3 linked regions of the Callithrix jacchus genome follow. The main gene of each other region encodes a partner of the protein of the gene in region 3 in a complex. Links are inferred from orthologs where the notes say so. Each region holds a gene or a part of one and is shown on either strand. Other genes may lie near its edges.

Region 1 (4,227 bases), on a different chromosome or scaffold from region 3:
GGGACTCCCAAGGGATCCAAACTGATTCATAGAGCAGAACCCCATAAAGGTTTAGTAATTGGTGATATAGGCACCACAGAGGCTAGAGTGAATATGGGGAAATGAATAGAAATCTGTGTAAAGACGCTTAGATCACCTGCCAAATTTCTCCCTCACCAGAGGGAAGATTTTCCAATATTATGTTTAAAGAATCCCCCAACAAAGAGATCACCAGGTTCCCATCTAATCTCCTTATAGTGAAGTCTATCAGTTCCTAAGGCCTACGTATGCAAACAGAGCTTGTAATGATTTATTCTTTTTTTTTTTTTTTTTTTTTTTTGAGATGGAGTTTCACTCTTGTTGCCCAGGCTGGAGTGCAATGGCACAATCTAGCTCACCACAACCTCCGCCTCCTGGGTTCAAGCAATTCTCCTTCCTCAACCTCCCGAGTGGCTGGGATTATAGGCATTTGCCACCACACCCAGCTAATCTTGTATTTTTAGTAGAGACAGGGTTTCTCCATGTTGTTTCAGCTGGTCTCAAACTCCCAACCTCCAGTGATCCACCTGCCTCAGCCTCCCAAAGTGCTGGGATTACAGGTGTGAGCCACCAGTGCTGGGCCTGATTTATTCTTAAATATTCACCAGACACAGAATAAAAGCCTCCAACATGGAAGTCAAAGACCAGAACAAATGGGGAATGGATTCTGGAAGAAACTGAGATACTGCAAGGAACAAAGAAAAACTTCAAAAATTCAATAATATCCTCAGGCAAAAGAAGTTCATGGGGGTGGGATGTGGTCGGGGGGTGGCTCACACCTGTAATCCCAACACTCTGGGGGGCCAAGGTGGGTGGATCACCTGAGGTCAGGACTTCAAGAGGTGAAACCCTGTCTCTACTAAAAATACAAAAATTAGCCCAGCGTGGTTGCACATGCTTGTAATTCCAGCAGCTTGGGAGGCTGAGACAGGAGAATTGCCTGAACATGGAAGGTGGAGGTTGTAGTGAGCTGAGATGGCACCACTGCACTCCAGCCTGGACGACAAGAGCAAGACCCTGTCTCAAAATAAACAAACAAAAAAATTAGCCGGGTGTGGTAGTGCATGCCTGTAATCCCAGCTATTCGGGAGGCTGAGGCAGGAGAATCACTTGAACCTGGGAGATGGAGGTTGCAGTGAGCCAAGATTGTGCCACTGTCCTCCAGCCTGGGTGACAAAACAAGACTCCATCTCAAAAAAAAAGTAGTTCCTACAGAAATTAAACAACAGGATGCTATTAAAAAGAAACGTGCAGGTCAGGCACAGTAGCTCACACCTGTAATCCCAGCACTCTGGGAGAGGCTGAGGCGGACAGATCACTTGAGGTCAGGAGTTTGAAACCAGCCGGGACAACATGGTGAAACTCTGTCTCTACTAAAAATACAAATATCAGCCAGGCATTGTGGCACGTAACTGTAATCCTAGCTACTGGGGAGGCTAAGGCAGAAGAATCACTTGAACACAGGAGATGGAGGTTGCAGTGAGCAGAGATGGTGCCACTGCACTCCAGCCTGGCAGAAAGAGGGAGACTTGAAAAGAGACAGTTCATTAAGTCCAAATGCAACACATGAGTTTGAAAGAAAGAAGAGGAGAAAAAGCCAGAAGGGTTAGGCTACCAAAGACTAGAGTAGGGAGAAAGTGACTAAAGCCCTGGAAGTTGCTTAGGCTGACAGGCTCTGAAGATTTTAGACCCCTTTTCTTTCTCTTTTTCTTTTTGAGACAGGGTCTTGCTCTGTTGCCAGGCTGGAGTGCAGTGGTGCGATCTTGGCTCACTGCAACCTCTGCCTCCTCGGTTCAAACAGTTCTCCTGCCTCAGTCTCCCAAGTATCTAGGACTACAGGTGCATGCCACCATGCCCAGCTAATTTCTGTATTTTTAGTAGAGATTTCTCTACTAAACTGGTTTCTCTATGTTGGCCAGGATGGTCTTGATCTCTTGACCTTGTGATCCCCTTTTCTACCTGCCTCCCATCTAAGAGCCACAAAGTGTTCCCACCAACTTGCTCCCAAAGCCTGTGCCTACCTGGGGAGAAGGTTTTCGGTAAAAGTGCTTAAGCTGTTCATAGGGTAGAGGTAGTTGTTGGCGTTGGTACATGATATGCTTTAGAAGTTCACAAGTAAACCGAGAGCAGCCTTCCTGGCTCACAGGCCCAGGAAACACCACTGGTACCATGCAGTCTCTTGGGCAAAAGGGCTCCAAAGGGTTGGGGGGTTCCTGGGTAGAGGTTGTCTCAAGTAGTTCTATCTGAGAGGCGTGAGTTTCTCCGGACTTCTCATACCACTCCAAATCTGGAAGGTGAAAAGAGGGTCAAGAGAGAAAAATTAAAAACCTAAAAGCCAAAGTCAATCTTCTGATTCCCTGTGGCCACCATACCTGCCACCCTGCGAAAAGGGGCACTCCGACATACGCACATACCCTCCGCAGCCTACAGTGTGGGAGAGGCAGGGAGAGATTCCTGATTCCTGTTGCCTGAGATTTAACTGACTGCAAGATAGTGGGGGGATTTCGGAAGTAGTACTAGGGCTCCGCTTAGAAAGCAGCGGGACCTGATCTGGGTAAGTAAGTCAAAAGTGTAGTCAAGCAGGGTCCAGGACGACCCAGGGCGATGGAGTGACAGCCAGAGCCGTGTAGGACACCCGGAAGACAGGGAAGACGGGCTGGGGAGAGGACCAGGGGATAAATGAATGGAGGGCGCGACAGTAGGAAAGAAACAGGTCCCCAAGGCTCCCCAAACTCTGGACCCCATGTCTTACCAGGGACCGAGGCCGCCTCCGGCGCCGCCATCTCGACCACCTCCCTCTACTCCTTGCGGTTACGATAAAGATCCCGCGGGGCATCATGGGAAGCCCACGCCTCCACTTCCGGCTCAGATGGGCCGGAAGAAGGCGCGGCGCCGTCGCAGTGTTGGGGAGGCTAGATGGATGGGATTTGAATCCTGCTTTCCTTCCTTAACACCCTGGCAGGTGTACACCCAGCCCTTGCCCAGCAGGCTTCTCAGCCATCGAGCGCTCCTTTCCAAAAGACACCAGCCCTCCCGCATCCATTCACTCCTGCATTCACTACCCACTGTGCACCTCCTTCGTGCCAAGCCCTGTTCTAGATCCTGGAGACTCAGCAGAGAACAAGCCAGTCACAGACCCCGTGTTCAAGGGGTTCACTGCCTGTAGATACAATACAGTGTGATAAATTATACAGAAGCGTGTACACGGGCTGTGGAAGCAAAAAGCAAGCGTGCGTAGGGGCTGGGAAGGCGTGGTCGCAGAAAAAATAGGTGAATCTGTGACCTGTAGGATAAGTCAGCAAGGTAAAGAGGAGGGCCTAGAGCTCCTACAGACCTTGAGACAAGAGCATACTCTGTCCAAGCAATGAAAAGAATTCATATTTTAAAGAGTTAAGGCTGTAGTGAACAACAGAACCCAGACCATGGCAGGACTGTATAAGCCACGTGAGAGTTTGGACTTGATCCTGTAGGCGGATGGGGAAGCTTTGAAAGGTTTAAGTAGGAAAGTGGCCTGATTAAATTACTTCTTATAAATTTAATCTCTACCCTGGCTGTAGGGTAGAGATTGGATTACAAGGAGGATAAGAGAGGAGGGAGAGATACCAGTTAGAGGTAGTGACTGCAGTTACCCAAGTACTTAATGAAAGCAGCCTAAACTAGGGTAGTCACAGTTCGGTGGAGATAATTGGGTAAACTCGAAATATTTAGGAGGTCTAGTAAACATAACTTGGTGATTGATGCAAGGAGGAGGAGGAATAGAAAGAGACTGACAAGAAAACAAGCAGGTTTCTAACCTCAGCAATTGTAAGGTCAGCTGTGCCATTCAATGTCAGAGGGAAGGAGGGTGCTGAAGCCAGGGGTTCGCTACCAGCCAGGACAACATTGGGGACCCTGTTTCTGCAAAATTAAAAATTAAATTGATTTGCAGTAGCTTTGATTTAAAAAGAAAAAAATTTTTTAATTTAAATTTTAAAAAAAGTTAGCCAGATGTCATGGTACACATCTATAATCTCAACTATTCAGGAGGTTGAGGCAGAGGATTGTTTGATTCCAAGAGTTCAACACTTACAGTGAGCTATGATCATGCCACTGCACTCCAGCCTTGGCAACAAGGCGAGACAATGACTCAAAAAGAAAAAAAAAAGGATGGGGCCAGGTATGGTGGCTCATGCCTGTAATCCCAGCACTTTGGGAGGCTGAGGCAGGCGG
Region 2 (3,646 bases), on a different chromosome or scaffold from region 3:
CGCACTTGTGGCCCCAGCCCCAGGGTCCCGGTGCCCGCCGTGGGGGTCCCTGGGCTGGGGCGCGGGCGCGCGGAGGAAGGGGCCTGAGCTGGCGCCTGGTGGGGAAGTCGGGTTTGTAGGGACTGTTGCCATCCTGGTGGCTCGCGCGGGTCCGCTATCTGGAAGGGGGTGGTGTGGGCCCTGTTTCCCCTCGGGGATGGTAAGGGCCGCCCTGGTCTCGTCTGGGCTATGGAGGAATTGGGCTGTGGAGCCTCCTTCCAGGCGGGCCTGCTTGTGCGGGGCTCGCAGCCTGGGGAGCTGGAGCTCAGGACTCTGCTTGCACCAGGCCAAGGTTCTTGTTAAATGAAAACTCAGAAAGTGTAGCTGCAGGAGTTCCACCTTTTGGCTGTTAAACGCTCTTGGCTGTTCCCCTTGTGGCTGGAGGGCCGGCGTGGCGTGGGACCATCATAAGTGCAGGTTTTAGGGGTGCAAAGTTCTTTGTTACGGCTTGTCTTCAGCCTTGCAAAGCTAGACAGACCCAGGTTCCAACCTCAGTTCTGTAACTTTTGAAGCTTCAGTTTCATCATTTCTAGAATTTGTAAAAAGACCTAATTCCCCATCCTGTTAAGATTGAGCTTGCAAGTATAGTGCTGGTCAACCTGCAGCCATGTTCCCATCATCTAGCAGTGGAAGACTTGAGGGATATTGATCCTGATCCTCACAACTTTGCAAGTGAATTTCACTCTCATGAGTTTCCAGATGAGGAAACTCAAGGTCGAGAAGTCTAGGTCCTCGGAAATGTCAGATACCTTTCTTTCCAGTACCTAGTTGAAAATAGTAGTAGTGCTTGTTAACGTCATTAGAAATAAACAATGAAAATTAGCACAGCTGTGGTGATCATCATCTTTACTGTCACTGTTGTGTGTCTCATTTCCGATTCCCAGAGGCCAGACTTTTTAAAATAAAATTATTTTTTTTGAGATGGAGTCTTGCTCTGTCACCCAGGCTGGAGTTAAGGGTGCAATCTCAGCTCACTGCAACCGCTGCCTCCTGGGTTCAAGTGATTCTCCTGTCTTAGCCTCCTGAGTAGCTGTGATTACAGGTGTGTGCCACCATATCCAGCTAGTTTTTGTATTTTTAGTAGAGACTGGGTTTCACCATGTCGGCCAGGCTGGTCTCGAATTCCTGACCTCAGGTGATCTGCCTGTCTTGGCCTTGCAAAGTGCTGGGATTACAGGTGTGAGCCACCATTGCCTGGCCTTAATTTATTTTTATTTATTTATTTTGAGGCACAGTCTCACTCTATAACGAGGCTGGAGTGCAGTGGTGTGATCTCAGGTCACTGCGACCTCCACCTCCCAGGTTCAAACCATTCTTGTGCCACAGCCTCCTGAGTAGCGCTGGAATTACAGGCACATACCACCTCACCCAGCTAGTTTATGCATTTTTCTTAGAGATGGAGTTTCACCATGTTGGCCAATCTGGTCTTGGACTCCTGACCTCAAGTGATCTGCGTGTCTCCGCCTCCCAAAGTGCTGGGATCACAGGTGTAAGCCACCGTGTCTGGGTAAGAAGCCAGACTTTGTGAGTGCTCCTGGTAGTTAATTTCAGGTGTCAACTGACTGGATTCAGGAACTCCTAGAAACTTGGGAAAGCATTGTTTTTGCTTTTGGATGTGCCGATGAGGGTGTTTCCAGAGGAGATGAGCTTAGGAGTCTGAGTGGATCAGGTGGGGAAGATCCACCCTCAGTGTTGGGGGCATCATTCAAGAGCCTGAGGTCCTGGAGAGGACAGAGAAAAAGCAAACATGTCCATCTTCCTGCTGGAGCTGGGATGCAGTTTTCCTCTCCTCTCCTTGACAGCAGCACTCCAGGCTTGCTGGCCTTTGGTCTCCAGGACTTGTCCCAGTAGTCCCTTGGACTGAGAATTACACCATCAGCTCCATTGGCTCTTCAGATTTGGACTGTGCCACGCTGCCAGGCTCTTAGGGTTCCAGTCTGCAGACAGCCTGTTGTGGGACAGTCTCCCTAATTATGTGAGTCAGTTTCCCTAATAAAGCCCCTCTCGTGTGTCTGTCTCTGTGTCTTGTTGGCTCTGTCTCTTTGGAGCATCTTCTTACAATGCTTTGAGGGGAACGTGCCACCTGAGTGCTGAGCACCGCCTCCTGGGCACCAGCTGTCCCTCTGTGCAGTTGACACTTAGTCGGTGGCTTGGTGGCAGGGGTCTGGTGGCATTCTTTCTTGCGTCCATTTTTTGTCTGGTAAGTTGGCAGCGCGGCTGCCAGTTGCCTCTGAAGAATGTGGTTACAGACACTGGTATATTATGGGCTCCAACGTGAGTTAGGGGAGTGGGGCTGCCCAGAGCGCCCCTGACTGCACAGCTGATGGCATGTGGCAAGGCTGTATCTGACCAGTCTTTGTCCCCCTCCAGAAGGAAAGCAACCATGGAAGACCTAGGGGAAAACACCACGGTTTTATCCACCCTGAGATCTTTGAACAACTTCATCTCTCAGCGTGTGGAGGGAGGATCTGGACTGGATATTCCCACCTCGGCCCCAGGTTCTCTGCAGATGCAGTACCAGCAGAGCATGCAGGTGAGTGGCATGTGCCTGGGTGGGAGTCTTCTCTGGGGACTAGTCCCCCTAGGCCCATGCAGGATCTGCTCAAGTCTTTTGTAGTTGAGATGGGTCAGTATTAGCTCAGCCTAGAGACCAGTTACTTGTCTTCCAGGTCTCACTGTGGGTACTTCTCATTTTGGGGCAATAGCTGGAGGCCATTTGGGGCCCTGAGCCATCATGGCTTAAAGGCCTGCCTTGTTAGCACCCTGAGTGGGCCTGGCGTTCAGCATTGCATTCACACAAGTGCACCCACAGACTCTGGGGACAGGATCGGAAGCCAGTTCATTCGTCTGATTGAGGACAGAACCCAAACTGCCTGTGAGTGTGAGCACCAGGACTGTGTGGGAAAGCTGTGTTGAAAACACAGTGGGTTCGCTCAGAGAGAAAGCCACGGCAATGAGCAGAAGGACTGGGTGTTTTGTGGTCTCAGACTGTGGAGGGCCATTTGCAGATTTTGGGGTGATTTTTATAATTTTGTTCTATAAAATTGTTGTATTTTTCTTCATTACAAGTTCTTGGGATTGCTCACTGTAGACACAGCTGCAGAGGACTCAGGTATTCTGAAGGACTTCAGGTTACAAAGAGTGATGGGCCCAGTCCCAGTTGGGAAGTGGTGGGGAATGGTGTCTCCAGCCGTGCCTGGGCCCTGTGGCTGCACAGGCTTCTATAGGCTCCTCTGCCTGGGCCCTCTTTTGCAGTCCCTGCTGCAGGCTCCAGAAGCGTTCTGTAGTCCTGTCCCTGTTAGAGGAGGCTCTGGCTTCCTGCTGCTTTTGGAGCCCATTTGAGGCCCTGCTGCATTTGGTGAAACTGTTGTGTGTGTATGTGCATTCGTTTTGTTGCATAATTGAATTAATATGTGTTTTTTTTCAGCAACATAATTAAATTAACATGTGTTTTTTAAAATGTTAGCTTGCTCACTGCCCTTTCTAGATGAGGACTTTTTTATTCTGAGATAAGGTCTTTTACATATATAGATATTTTATTGTTAAAATGCTCTTTTATGAAATTATAGTAATAGATGGTAGTTCTTTTTTATCACTGGCAAAATTA
Region 3 (3,646 bases):
CTTTTTAGGGTCTTTACCCTGTTCTCTCTTGTATTTTCTGCTTCTGTGTTTTGATTGTAATTATTCCCATTGGGTTCATCTCTCCAGTTTTAGAGAAACAACAAATTATCACCCAGTCTCCTCCTTTTCAGAGTGAAACTAATAAAAAGTTGTTGATAATGCCAATGAATCACAAGGCCCACAGGCCACATCCAACAGGTGGTCTCTGTTTTTGCACTGCCCACAAGCTAAGAATGTTTTTACACTTAGACGTTTGTTTAAAAATAAGCAACAGAGATCTTGGTGGCCTATAAGCCTAAAATATTTACTAATTACTCTATTTCTTTACAAAAACTTGGCTGACTCCTGATATGCTGTTCCAATTTCCAAGATTAATTCAAGGCTCAATCTTAGCCCCTGTTCTCTCTCTTTTTAATTTCTCTATAGGTGGTCTTTGACCTTGTATAGCTTCACTTAAAACCTTTGTGTAGTAAACTCACAAACTTGTATCTATCTCAAGCCTCTTTTTCCAGACCCATATATCCAGCAGCTATATCTTTATGTAGCTATCCCAGAGATAATGTACACTCAAGCATGCTAAAAACTAAATTTAGGATCATCTCCAAAACTGATACTCTTTAATTCTCTCTCTTTTTTTCTCTCAGTAAATGGCTAAACTGTCCAACCAGAAATAAACTTGGAAGCTATCCCTGAATCATACTTCTTCCAAACTACTGTGACTAAACCTAATAAATTTTAACCATGAAATCTCTTAAATCTACCTAATGCTCCATCTCTACCATTTATCCTCTTATAAGCTTTCACTAACTCTTGCTTAAATTACTGATTAACTAGTGTCTCTAGATCCCCTCTTTACCATCTCCACTCCACTTTCCGTATCACAGGTAGAACGATAGTTTTGAAATATAAGTCTTAATTGCTTTGCATCCTGCTTCACACACAGTAATGACTTCCCTGGTCTTGAAGTGTATATTTCTTTAATTTGATCCATCAGGCTTTGCATGTCTGACTCCTACTTATCTTGCCAGGATTACCTTGTTTTATTTTGTTTGTTTCTTGACTGCAGTTGTAGTGGACTGCTTCCAGTCCTCTAGTTATATGCTCTTCCCTTGTGAGTATATCTTCTTTCCTCTTCTTTTGCATATTTAATGCTGTTTATCCCTAGAGGTAAACTCAAGCCTTTTCTGACCTCCTAAGTGGCTCAAATTTTCCTTTTTTCATGCTCTCATAGCAGCCATTACAGTTTTAATCTCTCATTTATTGGTGTGATGATTGGATTAATGCCCATCTCCTATGCTTTTATCTTGGATTAGGATGAAAGTACCACATGTTCAGTATTCGGTCCTTAGCACCAATTGCTATACCTGGCACAGACACTGAGAATTTGAAGAGAGAAGTTAGGTTATTGATGGGGCAAATTTTGTTGCATGTAGAAGGAGGTACAAGATACCAGTGGTAGGAATTTGCTGAGGATAGGGAGTGGGACCAGAGAAGAGAGCTACTGTATAATGCAGTAGACCTAAAAAGATGTCTTTCTTTTTATATATTGCAGATTGGTTATACAAGTGTTCGGTTCAGAAACTGGTTGTAGTTATCTCAAACATTGAAAGTGGTGAGGTCCTAGAAAGATGGCAGTTTGATATTGAGTGTGACAAGACTGCAAAAGATGACAGGTAAGTAGGAATTCCATTATTTCTACTGTTATTTTTTTTCAAAACTTATTTTTATTACTAATTGAGTTCTAATTTTGAACTAGTTTTATATAAAATATAGTTTATTTCTAAGTTATATTTTCTAAGATATCTTCAGTCACCTATGGAAAAGAATTGTCCTCAGTTTAGCATATCATTGATTTGTATATATAATATACATTTAACATAATTGTCTTTAGTCTAAATCAGTAGTTTTCAAACAGTATTTATGGTGACATATACAAAACTACACATGATATACTAGAGAGACCATTTAATGAATTATTCAAAGATATTTCTGACTGTAAGGAATGATCTGAGACTCACACAATTTAAGATGCAGCTCTGCTGTACTTCCTTTAATGCCATCTGTTTCCTAAGACACTTCATAGTTTTCTGAAGGTTTCAGACTCCCTGGAAGAGAAATCTCCATCTTTATACCCTAATGTTTAACATAGTTCTAGGCATGCATTTCTATAAATGCAGAACCATTTCTCATAGTGAAATATAGTTTGCTTTTGAAGCCTTTGGTTTATTTTAGGAAATTTTTAGCTTATAAAAATAATTAGATATATAATTTAATGTTTTATTTGAGACAATAGGAAATTAAACATTTAGGCATTACTAAAAATACTGAAATGATTATACCAATTAAATATTTTAGATAACACTTGTTATTTTTATTTCAAAAGATGCTGAAGTTTCCCTATGTTGAGGTGGTTGGCAGATTTTCTAGTCATCTGATATTAAATGACCTGACATTAAGACCAGCTCTAAAAGATGACTGGCAGGATAAATGAAGTAATAAGGTTGTACATTGTGTCTGCTAGATTAAAGGTCTTAAGGATATTTTGACTTGTATTTTTTACAAACTGCCTTTTTAATGCATTGCTTGTCTGATATTGGGAGCATTTAATCAGATAAATAATCTTACCACTATGTTTAAGACCTAAAATGAATTCATTGATTTGTTTTGTTTTGTTTTGATAGTGCACCCAGAGAAAAGTCTCAGAAAGCTATCCAGGATGAAATCCGTTCAGTGATCAGACAGATCACAGCTACAGTGACATTTCTGCCACTGTTGGAAGTTTCTTGTAAGTATTATACAACTTCTTGTTGAATTAAATTAATTGGCAAAAAGACTAAACTACTTTAATCACCCCTTTATTAAATTTTGTCTTATTTATTAATATTATGTAATGTCAATTGAAGGAAAAACATTATAAAGCAAAAGTAGTGTATAGTAGTCTCTCTTTTCATAGGGAGACCCACAGCAAATACCTGAAACCATGGATAATATGAACCCTATATATATTATGTTTTTATGTTATACATACATACCTATGATAAAATTTAACATAAATTAAGCACGGTAATAGTTAACAACAATAATACTAAAATGGAACAATTATAACAATATGCTGGTGTCACTATTCTTGCACTTTGGGACCATTATTAAGTAAGATAAGGGTTACTTGAACACAATCACTACATTGCCACAGAAGTTAGAAAGATACAATATTTTCTTACTAAAATAAATGTTCATCAAGCAAAATAAATTAGTGATTAATCAGAGACCAAGCCATATGACCTTTTCTAGTAGTGAGTGGTTCAAAATAGAAAAGAGGCAGCAAGATTAGTTTTACTTTTGGAAAAACAATTTCATGATCTTATCCCCAATTTAGGTTCATTTGATCTGCTGATTTATACAGACAAGGATTTGGTTGTACCTGAAAAATGGGAAGAGTCGGGACCACAGTTTATTACCAATTCTGAGGAAGTCCGCCTTCGTTCATTTACTACTACAATCCACAAAGTAAATAGCATGGTGGCCTACAAAATTCCTGTCAATGACTGAGAATGACAAGAGAAAAATAATGTAATTGTTATTTTGAAATGTGGTTTTCCTGAAATCAAGTCATCTATAGTTGATACATTTTATTTCAATGGTGAAT

What was found.
Region 1: the proteins of MAD2L1 (region 3) and MAD2L1BP are in contact, whole or in part, in a crystal structure (PDB 2QYF), measured with the Homo sapiens proteins. The link is inferred for Callithrix jacchus from reciprocal best matches to the Homo sapiens genes MAD2L1 and MAD2L1BP. Residues at the interface, in NP_002349.1 of Homo sapiens: Tyr33, Arg45, Thr52, Leu54, Lys122, Asp126, Glu127, Arg129, Ser130, Arg133, Gln134, Thr136, Ala137, Thr138, Thr140, Phe141, Leu142, Leu144, Glu179, Val181, Arg182, Leu183, Arg184, Tyr199, Asp205; in NP_055443.1 of Homo sapiens: Pro61, His79, Tyr82, Gln83, Gln85, Pro88, Leu89, Pro90, Gln93, His96, Ala185, Leu187, Arg188, Phe191, Arg192, Phe195, Asp198, Ala199, Phe200, Ser201, Glu202, Leu203, Gln204, Ala205.
Region 2: the proteins of MAD2L1 (region 3) and MAD1L1 are in contact, whole or in part, in a crystal structure (PDB 1GO4), measured with the Homo sapiens proteins. The link is inferred for Callithrix jacchus from reciprocal best matches to the Homo sapiens genes MAD2L1 and MAD1L1. Residues at the interface, in NP_002349.1 of Homo sapiens: Tyr38, Leu61, Tyr64, Asn67, Val68, Trp75, Gln82, Lys83, Ser89, Ile91, Glu92, Ser93, Gly94, Arg99, Gln101, Ser150, Phe151, Asp152, Leu153, Leu154, Ile155, Tyr156, Thr157, Asp158, Lys159, Asp160, Leu161, Val163, Lys166, Trp167; in NP_001013858.1 of Homo sapiens: Glu527, Arg528, Ala530, Leu531, Gln532, Gly533, Asp534, Tyr535, Gln537, Ser538, Arg539, Thr540, Lys541, Val542, Leu543, His544, Met545, Ser546, Leu547, Asn548, Pro549, Thr550, Ala553, Arg554, Leu557.

Annotation. Positions count from the first base shown.
Region 1 is NC_133505.1:52,109,117-52,113,343, reverse strand, and holds the start of MAD2L1BP (MAD2L1-binding protein), read right to left. Parts: upstream 2,856-4,227; 5' UTR 2,802-2,855; coding exon 2,771-2,801; intron 2,306-2,770; coding exon 2,040-2,305; intron 1-2,039. UniProt on the Homo sapiens protein: May function to silence the spindle checkpoint and allow mitosis to proceed through anaphase by binding MAD2L1 after it has become dissociated from the MAD2L1-CDC20 complex.
Region 2 is NC_133503.1:56,813,777-56,817,422, forward strand, and holds part of MAD1L1 (mitotic spindle assembly checkpoint protein MAD1), read left to right. Parts: intron 1-1,841; exon of another isoform or gene 1,842-2,014; intron 2,015-2,409; coding exon 2,410-2,572; intron 2,573-3,646. UniProt on the Homo sapiens protein: Component of the spindle-assembly checkpoint that prevents the onset of anaphase until all chromosomes are properly aligned at the metaphase plate.
Region 3 is NC_133504.1:77,662,284-77,665,929, forward strand, and holds part of MAD2L1 (mitotic spindle assembly checkpoint protein MAD2A), read left to right. Parts: intron 1-1,552; coding exon 1,553-1,673; intron 1,674-2,681; coding exon 2,682-2,785; intron 2,786-3,376; coding exon 3,377-3,549; 3' UTR 3,550-3,646. UniProt on the Homo sapiens protein: Component of the spindle-assembly checkpoint that prevents the onset of anaphase until all chromosomes are properly aligned at the metaphase plate.